Linked DNA regions of Callithrix jacchus. The main gene of each other region encodes a partner of the protein of the gene in region 2 in a complex. Links are inferred from orthologs where the notes say so. Each region holds a gene or a part of one and is shown on either strand. Other genes may lie near its edges.

Evidence for each region.
Region 1: DRC10 (region 2) and DRC8 share a complex: the UniProt entries of both Homo sapiens proteins name them as parts of the nexin-dynein regulatory complex. The link is inferred for Callithrix jacchus from reciprocal best matches to the Homo sapiens genes DRC10 and DRC8.

Annotation. Positions count from the first base shown.
Region 1 is NC_133520.1:41,145,815-41,151,726, forward strand, and holds part of DRC8 (dynein regulatory complex protein 8), read right to left. Parts: exon of another isoform or gene 4,302-5,912; coding exon 4,222-4,301; exon of another isoform or gene 3,015-4,221; coding exon 2,972-3,014; exon of another isoform or gene 2,826-2,971; coding exon 2,759-2,825; exon of another isoform or gene 1-2,758. UniProt on the Homo sapiens protein: Component of the nexin-dynein regulatory complex (N-DRC), a key regulator of ciliary/flagellar motility which maintains the alignment and integrity of the distal axoneme and regulates microtubule sliding in motile axonemes.
Region 2 is NC_133510.1:116,174,580-116,180,491, forward strand, and holds part of DRC10 (dynein regulatory complex protein 10), read right to left. Parts: intron 5,129-5,912; 5' UTR 5,036-5,128; coding exon 4,307-5,035; intron 244-4,306; coding exon 10-243; intron 1-9. UniProt on the Homo sapiens protein: Component of the nexin-dynein regulatory complex (N-DRC), a key regulator of ciliary/flagellar motility which maintains the alignment and integrity of the distal axoneme and regulates microtubule sliding in motile axonemes.

The DNA of each region.
Region 1 (5,912 bases), on a different chromosome or scaffold from region 2:
TACGCTCAAACTAGTGTTTGATGCTTGGCGGATATTATAAAGACTGGGTAAGTAACTTTAATCCATATTGTTATATAGCATAAATGTACTTAAAAACAATTTGTAGAATTCTGAGAATCTCAAAGCAACAATTCTTAAGCCACTATTTACCAAACTAGTCAACTGCTATTACACTTAGCTGATGGGTCTGTGATATGAAATCATAACTTAGATTTGTACAGTATTTACATCTTACGCATTACTTCCAAACGTACTGGCTCATCTATGCGGAAGGTTTGTAACAACACTTGTTGAATGAATCGTTGAAATCATACATGTTCTTATTTGAAAATACCTGTCCTATGCTTGGTCCCCTGAGAGACCCAGTAGTCGATCTTTGAGTACCATGAACTCCCTGTAAACATACCATCTTGGCAATTATCACACAGCTCCCCAGGGCAAAGCACACGAGCGCACCGCCTCTGTACACACTGCAGTCTGTTCTGACTTTGCTGTTTCCGTCAGCAGCATTACCATGACACTTGCGCTCGAGGGCAAAGCCTTGGTGTTACTTGTGACTCAGCTCTCATGTTTGTCCCCTACGCTCTGTCATCATGACCCACGGATTCTGCCGCAGACAGTCCTGTATCAATCCCTTCTTTCCATTCCCATTGCCGTTGCCAGGTTAGGCCCTTATTTGGGTGCCTTCAGGATGCTGAAATAAGCTTCTAACTGGTCTCCCTGGTCCAACCTCTTTCTCATGAATCTAACAAACCGACCAGCACCAGAAAAACCTTCTCACGATCACTCACACACCTTGTGACTCATCTGCTCAAAAGCCTGTAGGACTTCTCCATTGCCCACAGGATGAATTCCAAACTCCTGATCCTGGGACTCTACAGTTTAGTCCCAGTCAATCTACTGAAGTTAATTTCCCGCTGTTTGCCAGAGCCACCCTCGGGGCCAGCTAGGCTTATTTTCTCTCTGAAATAGCATGTTCATTCCTACCTCTCCATTTTTGTTCAGACTGTTTTACACACCTAGGTCTCCCTCTCGTGAGCCCTTCGCCTAGTCTTCACCGTCTACTCATCCATTCGTTAATTCGGCAAACATTTGTTGAGATCTACTGTATGTGAGAGAATTATAATGCACAAGAGTTTACCTCTGCCCTCGACAACTTAACCATATACATTCTACCGTCTCAAAAAACCTATTTTCTCTTTAAGTCTTCCCAGACTAAGCTTTTCAGGCGGGTCCGGCCCTGGTTGATCTTCATACATTTATTTTTCTATCGTCTTCTGCTGTCTCTATTTTATGTTACTGTTATTTCCCCAGTAAGATTGTAATATCCTTGCAAGAGGGAGCAGATTTCACTGTCCTTATACCTTACTGCACTTACTGAATGCTAAACACGTAGTAGGCACACGACAGTAGGAACATCGCACTGTTTTGGGTCATTTTGACTAACTTCATGTTGTCCAATATTTAACCCAGGATTTACTTTCTTTACACTAATCCTTAGGATTAAGAAGCTGATGCTAAAAAAAAAAAAAAAAAAAAAAAAAAAAAGAAGCTGATGCTTTGAAAGTCCTAACATCCCCATCAAAATTAATCCCTAAGATCATTTTGACCATGGCATGAGAGTTCCTGGGTGGCAGCTATGATGGCGGTGTCATTCTTACTCCCACTCCCTGTATTCCCCCTAATGGATCACGCTGGAATGGTCAAGCCAGTTGTGCACGTAGATGCAGTCTTAGCTTTCCCTGCTCCAGATTACTTGCACTTTTGATTCTGTCTCAAGTGATTAGCAACTCTGAGTCATTCAGAACTCAATCTGTGAACCAGAGAGCTCTAGCTCTGTACAGGAGAAGGCAAGGTCACCAGTATGAGGATGGTTTCAGGAGACGACCTTCAGGGAAAACAAATGTACACATCAGCCTAGCAGAGGGAATTCCCAAGGAAATATGTTGGCATATGTAAGTGTGCAGGTATTATGTGTGTATATGCATATGTATGAAGGGCCATGTTCAAAGCATATATATATGGTTCCATTAACATTAAAAGAGGAAATGTTTAGTGTTAAAAATGACCTCATATTAAATTTAGGCTATATTATCTATAACTTCACCAACAGAAAAGCTTTTTAAAAAGGAATTTTTAAATTCCTTCAGCACTGTGGGAGGCCAAGATGGGTGGATCACCTCAGGTCAGGAGTTTGAGACCAGCCCGGCCATCTCTACTAAAAATACAAAAATTAGCTGGGCATGGTGGCCCACGCCTGTAATCCCAGCTACTTGAGAGGCTGAGGGAGGAGAATCACTTGAACCCAGGAAGCAGAGGTTGCAGTGAGCTGAGACTGCACTCCAGCCTGGGTGACAGAGCAAGACTCTGTCTCAAAAAAAACAAAAAAGAAAGAAATTTGTAGAGACTCCTATTCAGATCTTCAATCTGGGAAGAGGCCTTCATTTACAGTGATTGATAGTTCATGTTTTCCAGATGGCATATCTTTTATTCTGAAAATTCCATTCAGAATGACTGCAATTACAGAAGTAATCACTATACTTTACAAAATCCTCTAAGACAACAACACAGCTCCCCTTATCCTACTCTTCTTAACCCCCACAGAACAGAAACCATCCCCAAACCAAAACAGTAGGAACAGTAAATAACTTTCCACCAGAATGACTGATTCTAACGTCTCCCCATAACTTTACATGACTGCTGACAAATCATGAATTCCTCACGTAGGTCACTGTTGCAAGCACTAAATCACGCTTACCTTCTTCAGTCATGTACTTGATCAATTCGTCCTTAGTAAGAAATCCACGGTTAGCTGTATCTAAAACCTAGGGGAAAAGAAAAGATAGATATTCTATTTTTTCATTTGGTAAGTTCTACATGATGAATTTTTCACATAAATGAGCATACACGTGTGTATATAAATGTCTGTATTTATATACATGTATATGTATATAAGCTGGAGTGTACATACCTCAAAGGCTCGAAGAAGGACATCTTCTGGAATGGGTCTGTATCTATAATTATGCAATAGGTTGAGTCAGTGCCATAGTATTCACCATCGTCTCTGCGTAATAAAGCAGCAGTCTCCAACCTTTCTGGCAGTGGCGACTGGTTTCATGGAAGGAAATTTTTCCACAGACCGGGGTTGGGGGGATGGTTTGGGGATGAAACAGTTCCACCCCAGATCATCAGGCATTAGATGCTCATAAGGAGCACAACCTAGATCCCTCCCACGCGCAGTTCACAATGGGGTTTGTGCTCCGATGAGACTCTGGCACCAGCGCTGCTCTGACAGGTGGCAGCACTCACTCTCTTGCTGGTCACCTCCTCCAGTGCAGCCCAGGGGTCCCAACAGGCCAGGGACTAGTACCAGTCCATGGCCTGGTAGTTGGGGACCACTGGAATGAATAAATGACCACATAAAACAAACCAGGGCCGGGCGTGGTGGCTCACGCCTGTAATCCCAGCACTCTGGGAGGCTGAGGCAGGTGGATCACCTGAGCTCAGCAGTTCAAGACCAGCCTAGCCAACACAGTGAAACCCTGTCCCTACTAAAAATACAAAGATTATCTGGGCATGGTGGTGGGCACCTGGAATCCCAGCTACTCGGGAAGCTGAGGCGGGAGAATGGCTTGAACCTGGGAGGCAGAGGTTGCAGTGAGCTGAGATGGCGCCATGGCACTCCAGCCCAAAAAATAAAAATGAAGAAGTAAAAGCTGCTAACATACTGGGATGGTAATGCTTGCCTCGCTGAAATCTTGTTGGATTTCTGGATGTGAAAGTGGAGAACACCTCAGCCCCACAGGAAGTATTTAGTGCAAAATCACTGACATGTTTGCGGTTATCTATTAGCTTTTCAGAAATCAATTTCGGTGGGCACAAGACTTCCATGATGAACCAACTCTGGCAAGCTAATGCTATATTTGTGCTAGAAATATTAGGATTCTTTTTTATCATTGATAATTCAAAACAGAAGATAAGAATGTTGACTTATGATCTTTGTAGCTTATTTGCCCCCAATTATGCTTTGCTAAGGTTAACACGAATGTGTTTGATATTTCTAAGCATGTACCAACTGGCAGTTCAGAAGTATCTAGAAAGGTTAGAAGGAGGCCACCTTAGGAGACGCTGGTTGAACATAACATACGAAGGGAAAGAGCCAAGCGTCCTGAATGAATTCTGATCGTTGCGTTGCCTTAACAATTGCATTTACTTACTTACCTTCTTTCTAGTAGTATTTCTGTCATCACCGGAAGAAATTTTTCAAATCGAATGTATCCAGTGGGTTCTTCTTCCTCTATCTAAACATTCAATAAGTAAATAGCCATTTATCCATCCAACAAATATATTTTATTAAGATTTCTCTTTATCATTCATCTTGAACCTGTACAGTTGACACTCTGATAAGGGAGACATGCATTAATCAAGACACAGCAACAGGAAGACAGTGTGCTTGTAAATCCATGTAAGCACAGTGAAGGGAAGGAGCACGGGTCTGTAGGAACAGTCAATAGAGAACCCTCGGCCAGGCGCAGTGGCGCACACCTGTAATCCCAGCACTTTGGGAGGCCAAGACACGCGGATCACTTGAGGTCAGGAGTTCAAGACCAGCCTGACCAACATGGTGAACCCCCCATCTCTACTAAAAATACAAAAATTAGCTGGGCATAGTGGCACACACCTGTAGGCCCAGCTACACAGGAGGCTGAGGCAGGAGAATCGCTGAACCTGGGAGATGGGGTTGCAGTGAGCCGAGATCGTACCACTGCACTGCAGCCTGGGCGACAGAGTGAGACTCCATGTCAAAATAAATAAATAGAGCACCTCTTAGACCGGGAGGCCAGGGAAGTCATTCACGAGGAAATAACACTCCAGCTGATTTAGAAAGGATGAGTAGAAGGTAATGAGACGAAGACGGGAGGGAGAGACTCTCACAAAGAGGAAACTGCACGCACTGAGACTCTGCTGACACACTGGAGGCTAGGAGGCTGGAGTACAAGGAGCAACGAGAAGGCTTCAAGACGAGGCTAGGGAGAGGCAGGGCAGACTGCAGGGCCTCCTTGCCCGTGACAGTGATAAGGCTGCTGGCCCAAAAACAGTGGGAAATCACCGACGGTCTCGCTGATGCATGTTTTGAAAGAGCACACTGGTTGAGGGTGAGGCAGCTTTTTCAGTAGTCTAAGCAGGTATGACAAGGGCTTAGACTGGAGTGGTGGCTATGGAGAGAGAAATGGATGGCTTCAAGAAATATTTAAGAAGCGGAATTGATAGGACCTGGTCTTGCATTCATTATGAGTAACGATGGAAGAAAACAGAGGATTCAAGGATGACTCCCAGGATGCTGACTGACACCACTGAGATAAGGTGATGCTTTTCCCTGAGACAAGAAACCCTGAATGAGGGACCAGGTTAGAGCACACGCCGCCATCGCAAGGACCAACTACATCTTAAATCATCATAATATGTATTAAGCACCTCCATGGTAGACAGAGCTTGGTCATACCGCCCCTAGATTAGAAGACTACACCTAAGAGGATGATTGGGACTTGGCACTATTAAATGAGAACGAAACAGATCCCTGCCTGTGGGTTCGGCTTGGATGCAGCAGCTGAACATAACACCACTGACCTTAACTTTCCTGTCAGGCTGTCTATAGCGAGCTGTAAATTTTCCATTCCCTTTCAAAAATCTCATTAAAAGGCTCATAGATCCCAATTCAGCAGATGAGTTTTGGACAGATTTATTCTTGGAGCAAAAACGAAGAAAACACCTACAGGTTGCTGCTAAGTGTGACACAACGTCATCCAAATGACTAGTGTTTTTAACACTTACACCAGATTCACACCTAGCGTGGTGGAACCTCCGACTCCACCATCAGCAGAAAATTCAACGCATTCAATGACAGAATTGTG
Region 2 (5,912 bases):
CCCGGGCACCTTTCTCAGCGCCTGCTCCGCCTCCCGGTTCTCCATGACCAGGCTGAAAACCTGTGACTGCAGCTGCAGGATCTCCTGCTGGATCTTGGCCACCCTGGCCTGCGATGCTCGGAAGTCGGCCCTCTGCTGCTTCTTGGCCTCCTGCTTAGTGCGAAGGAGGCTGTTCTCTGAGAACTTGAGCACCTGGTGCAGGTGGTTTTTCAGTTCTTGGATCACAAAGTTCTCCTTTTCCATCTGAGCCAGGAAGAGAAAGGGCTCCGTTAATACCCCCATGCCCAGCCGGGCACAGTGGCTCATGCCTGTAATCCCAACACTTTGGGAGGCTGAGGTGGGTGGATCACCTGAGGTCAGGAGTTTGAAACCAGCCTGGCCAACATGATGAAATCCTGTCTCTACTAAAAATACAAAAATTAGCTGGGCATGGTGGTGAGTGCCTGTAAGCCCAGCTACTCCGGAGGTTGACAGAATAGCTTGAACATGGGAAGTGGAGGTTGCAGGGAGTGGAGATCACACCACTGCACTCCACCCTGGGTGACAGAGTGAGACTCCATCTCAGAAAAAAACACCTCCATGCCCACTGCCAGTCACCAGAGGCTGACACCACTGCACCCTCCCTTGGAGCCAGGCATGCCACATGTGTTATTATCTCTCTCAGTCTCTCTAATCATAACCCCAACCCCACAATGGAGGTCAGGGATAGCTTGATTACAGACAAAAAAACTGAGGCTCCAGGAGGTGGCTTCATCTGTCTGTGGTTGCCCAGCTGAGCTGGGGTCTGAAGCCAGGTTTGTCTGACCTGGAGCCACCACTTTCTATTTCGTTGCACTAGTGAAGAGTACAAGCTTGTTGGATTGAGTCCACAGGGGAGGACTGGGACGGCAGTGATGCTTCTCCTGAGGACATGGCAGGGGAGGCCTGGCTGGCAGAGACACTTGGTGGGATGCATGAATGTGTATGACAAACACTGACTGAAGGGATTGCCACCAGGCTGTCTCTCAAGGGCCCATACCTGGCTTGTTCCCTGCCTTGGGTGGATTCTAGAACAGGAATGGGGTGGAGGATGGGACAGTTTTGTAAAGAAGTTCTCAAGGCTTCTCACAAACACTGGAGTCTCCATCTGAGCACAGTGGTGCTATCGCTGCTCACACCACAGTCCTGGGCTTGGGTCAGCCTGCAGCAGGCCTGCTGGGCACCTGTTCACTTCCTGCACACTGGGGGCAGGGAGGCAGCGTCTTTGAGGCAAGCCTGTCCTGCATGAAGGCTCTAGGCAGCAGGTGCGGGAGTATGCTCAGCAGTCACAGCTCTCCTGGTAGACTCCCCACCACGTCCCTGATTGGTGTCTCCCCTTCATTGTACACTGAGGTTCAATGACATGAAATTTGCTCACCTGGCAAAAATGGCATCTGACCCCAAGTTAGCCCAAGGTGAAGCCCCTTCGAATTCTAGCACCTGAATGAGACCAGCAGGGCCACCTGTGTCCCTTTGCCTATGCCTAGAGGATGTTCTTCCCACCTTACCAGTGACCTCCCTGTGCAAGGGCCCAGAAGCCCATCACCTGTCCACTCAGCAAGTATACATCATGTACTTCTTTTGGACAGGCTCACTGGGGACACAGTGGCAGGCTGAGAGAGACAAGGCCCCTCTTTTCTTGTGGAGGAGACAGACCTCTCAAGGCCACACAAAGCACACAAAGGTATGTCATCCTCATAGTCGGCTGATTGCTTTAAAGGACAAATTCAGTGAGAAGTGCCCCACCTCCCTCCCTGGGGAAGGGAGGGCAGTGAATAGCTTGCCAGTGCCTTGAACCTCTTGTCAGTGGTGGGGGAGAGAAAGAGAAGTGCTGCGGCAGTGCAGCCTGGCTAGCCCCCACGTCTGCCCTCCCCAGAGAGGCTGTGGGCTAGAATGTGTAGTAGAACAGGGTGACAGGCGGTCAGTCCTTCCTAGCACCTCTCTCTGCTGGGTGTGGCTACAAGATGTGCATAGAAGTTCTGTGGGGGGACCTCTGCATGTGTCCTTAAGGGGTGGAACCAAGCCCTCTCCTCCCCTTTCCTCCTTCCTGCTGGCTGGACCGGGGGCCACATGATGGGGAAAACTGGAGCAGCCATCTTGACCCACAGGCAGAAGTCCCATGTGGGGATCAGTAGAGAAGTCGTATCAAAGAAGCCAGACCCCCTGACAACTTGGGAAGCAGAGATGCCACACCAGCTCTGGTGTTTCTACTACAGAGAAATACATGGTTGTCTTACTAAGCCACAGCTATGTTGGGTGTCTCTGTCATAGCAGCCAAATCTGTACTTATACATCATGTCACAGGGTTTTTGTAAAGATTTAGAGAGAAAATGTATGTAAAACAAATACACTGTATGTGTCCAATATGATTATTATTAGGTTTAGGATCATGCTACCATTCCCCTTTTTTTCTTTTTTGAGATAGGGTATTTCTTTGTAGCCCAGGCTGGAGTACAGTGGTGCGATCTCAGCTCCCTGTCACCTCCAACCTCTACCTTCTGGGTTCAAGTGATCCCTCCCACCTCAGCCTCCTGAGTAGCTGGCACTACAGGTGTATACCACCACGCCCAGTTAATTTTGTCTTGTATGTAGAGATGGGGCTTCACTATGTTACCCAGGCCGGTCTCAAACTCCTAAGTTCAAGTGATCCTCCTGCCTTGGCTACCCAAAGTGTTGGGATTACAGGCATGAGCCACCATGCCCACATTTCCCTTCTTAAAAAAAATGATTCTAGCTGGTATGGTGGTATGCCTATAATCCTAGCTACTCAGGAGGCTGAAGCTGGAGGGTCTCTAAGCTAGGAGTTTGAGACCAGCCTGAGTAACAGAGTGAGACCCCATTTCTTTTTTGTATTTCTTTTCTTTTATTTATTTATGTATTTATTTATTTTAGACAGAGTCTCACTCTGTTGCACAGACTGGAGCACAATGGCACAATCTTGGCTCACTTGAACCTCCACTTCTTGGGTTCAAGCGATTCTCCTGCCTCAGCCTCCTGAATAGCTAGGATTAGAGGAGCCTGCCACCATGCCTGGCTAATTTTGTATTTTTAGTAGAGACGGGGTTTCACCATGTTGATCAGGCTGGTCTTGAACTCCTGACCTTAGGTGATCCACCTGCCTCCCAAAGTGCTGGGATTATAGGCATGAGCCATTATGCCCAGCTATTTTTTTGTATTTTTTTTAGTAGAGATGGGGTTTCGCCATGTTGGCAAGGCTGGTCTCGAACTCCCGACCTCAAGTGATCCATTCGCCTTGGCCTCCCAAAGTGCTGGTATCATAGGTGTGAGACACCAAATCTGGCCAGTGACCCCATTTATAAAAAAAAACTTAATTAGGCAGGCATGGTGGCATGTGCCTGTAGTCATAGCTACTTGGGAGGCTGAGGAAGGGGGATTTCTTGAGCCCCAGGAGTTCGAGACCAGCCTGGGCAACATAGTGAGACACCATCTCTACAAAAATTTTAAAAATTAGCCAGGCAATGTGGTGCATGCCTGTAGTTTCAGCTACACAAGAAGTTAAGGCAGGAGAATCACCCAGGAGGTCAAGGCTGCAGTGAGCTATGATCGTGCCACTGTACTCCAGCCTGGGTGATAGAGCGAGATCTTGTCTCTAAAACTAAAAACTTCAAAAGACCAAATTCCTTGATTAGGCCTCAAAGGCCCCATGTGATCTGTCTCCTTCCCCTGCTTTCCCAGCCTATCTTGGCCCTTCCCTCTAGCTCACTGGCATTCTCTGGGTTTCTGAACTAGCCAGGCTTATTCCTATCTCATGACTGAGGTACCCTCTACCCTCCACCTGGAACACAGGTTGACAAACTATGGCCCACAGGCCGAATCCAAACTTGCATTTGTTAGGGAAAGTTTTGTTCTTACACAGTCCATTCATTTACATATGGCTACTCTCCCCCATAACAGCAGAGCTGAGTTAAGTAATTGCAACAAAGACCATCTGGCCCACAAAGCCTAATGTATTTACTATCTGACCCTTAGTAGAAAAAGTTGGGGCCAGGTGCGGTGGCTCACGCCTGTAATTCCAGCACTTTGGAAGGCCGTGGCAGGAGGATCACTTGTGACCAGGAGTTCAAGACCAGCCTGGCCAACATGATAAAATTCTGTCTCTACTAAAAGTACAAAAATTAGTATCAAAAATGAGTCCGAGATCACACCACTGCACTCCAGCCTGGATGACAGGGAGAGACTCCATTTCAAAAAAAAAAAAAAAAAAAAAAAAAAGATTTGGGCCAGTGAGTGTGGCTTCTGCGGTTTCAGCAGTACTGTGAAACAGTACCTCTGCATGTCTGTCCTTCATCCTCTCCGCCAATTCATTTTCAAGAGTATCAAGGATTTGTTGGTTCATACTATTCTGTTTACTGATATCCTGTATGAACTGGGCTTTGTCCCTCGCTTCCATGGGACTAGTGAGGAGTTTTTCAAACAGGAAACCACGGAGCTCATTCAGGCTGTCAATCAAACACTGGGCTTCTGCACTTCTGCCCTGCGTCTGCATCTGCAGGAAACTGGCAGCTTGAGGGTTGCTGAGCAAGAGTCTCAGGACATTCTTGGTGGAGTCTTTGATCTGCTGCCTAAGTGGAGGGAGGCTGGATTTCTGCAGCTCTATGGACAGGCGGCGGTCTCTGAGCCACCCTTCCTCCTTAGCCTCATCCTGCTCCTGCAGCTGCCTTTCTTTTTCCTTTAGGCACCTGACGTTTTCCAGGAGGATCTGGCAGAGGTCCTCATGCTCCCTCACTGCCCTCATGATGTTCTCCCCCAGCATCCCCTCCACATCCCCTCGATTGGATGCCACATACGACAGCAGGGTCACCAGCTCCACCTTGTAGATCGCCTCATCCAGGACGGACATGATCCTTTTGGCCTCAATGGTGGTAAGTTTGGTCTTAGAGGGGACCAAGGGTTTTAGTGAGTCGGCTGGCCTTTTAGATGGGTCTGTCTTTGGCCCTATTCTGTTGATGGTGGGGACCTGGTACAAAGGCGCTATGGCGAGAATGTCTAAAGCCATCTCGTGAGCAGCCCTCTGTCCCTCTGTACGTCCTCAGAGATGGAGACTTCGGTAGACTATTTGGGTCTTGTGCTTTTATTGTCTCTGGCCATCCTGCAAAAGGAAGACGTAGGTGTTAGTGGAGCTGTGCTGACATCTGTGTGGTTAGCGTGGCTGCAGAAACCACAGCTGTTGACATCAAAAGTTCATCTTAGGTCCTCTGTCACTTTTACACAGAACCTTTCACTGAAAACAGCTTTCGGCTTTGTGAGGGTGTTAGGGCCACAAGGGCAGAAGACCAAGCGTGGAGGTGCCTCAGGCACCTGTGCCAGGCAGAGACCACCAGGATGATAGATGCCATTCAAAAGATTTAAAACCAGAGACTGGTTATGTCAGTGATGGGAGAATTGAGAGGTCAACCAGGGGAAGATAAAGCCATCCCGCAATTGTCAATGGCGGGAAGCCACCACATGAATAGGTGGTGAGCCTGGGGCCCAGAGTCACGCAGGGGATGCTTGAGCCACAGCCATCAGTTGTTCCCAGAGGAGCAAGAGACATTGCCGGAAATGCAGGTCAAAGAGGGGGGCTGTGGGAGAGGAGAAATACCCTGGCTCCTCTCTTTCTCCTGCCCTCGGCCAGAACCAGCAGGAAACTGACGAGGGATCCTGGGCGATGGCACCGCAGGCAGCAGCCTATGAGCAGGACAGGGACAGGGTAGGGACAGGGCAAAAATCAGTGTAAGATTAATAGGACTAGGACCGGCACATTTTCACCGATTTTGAAGTTGTTGTTGTTGTTGTTGTTGTTTTTGAGACAGAGTCTTGCTCTGTCACCCAGGCTGGAGTGCAGTGGCGTCTCGGCTCACTGCAACCTCCGCCTCCCGGGTTCAAGTGATTCT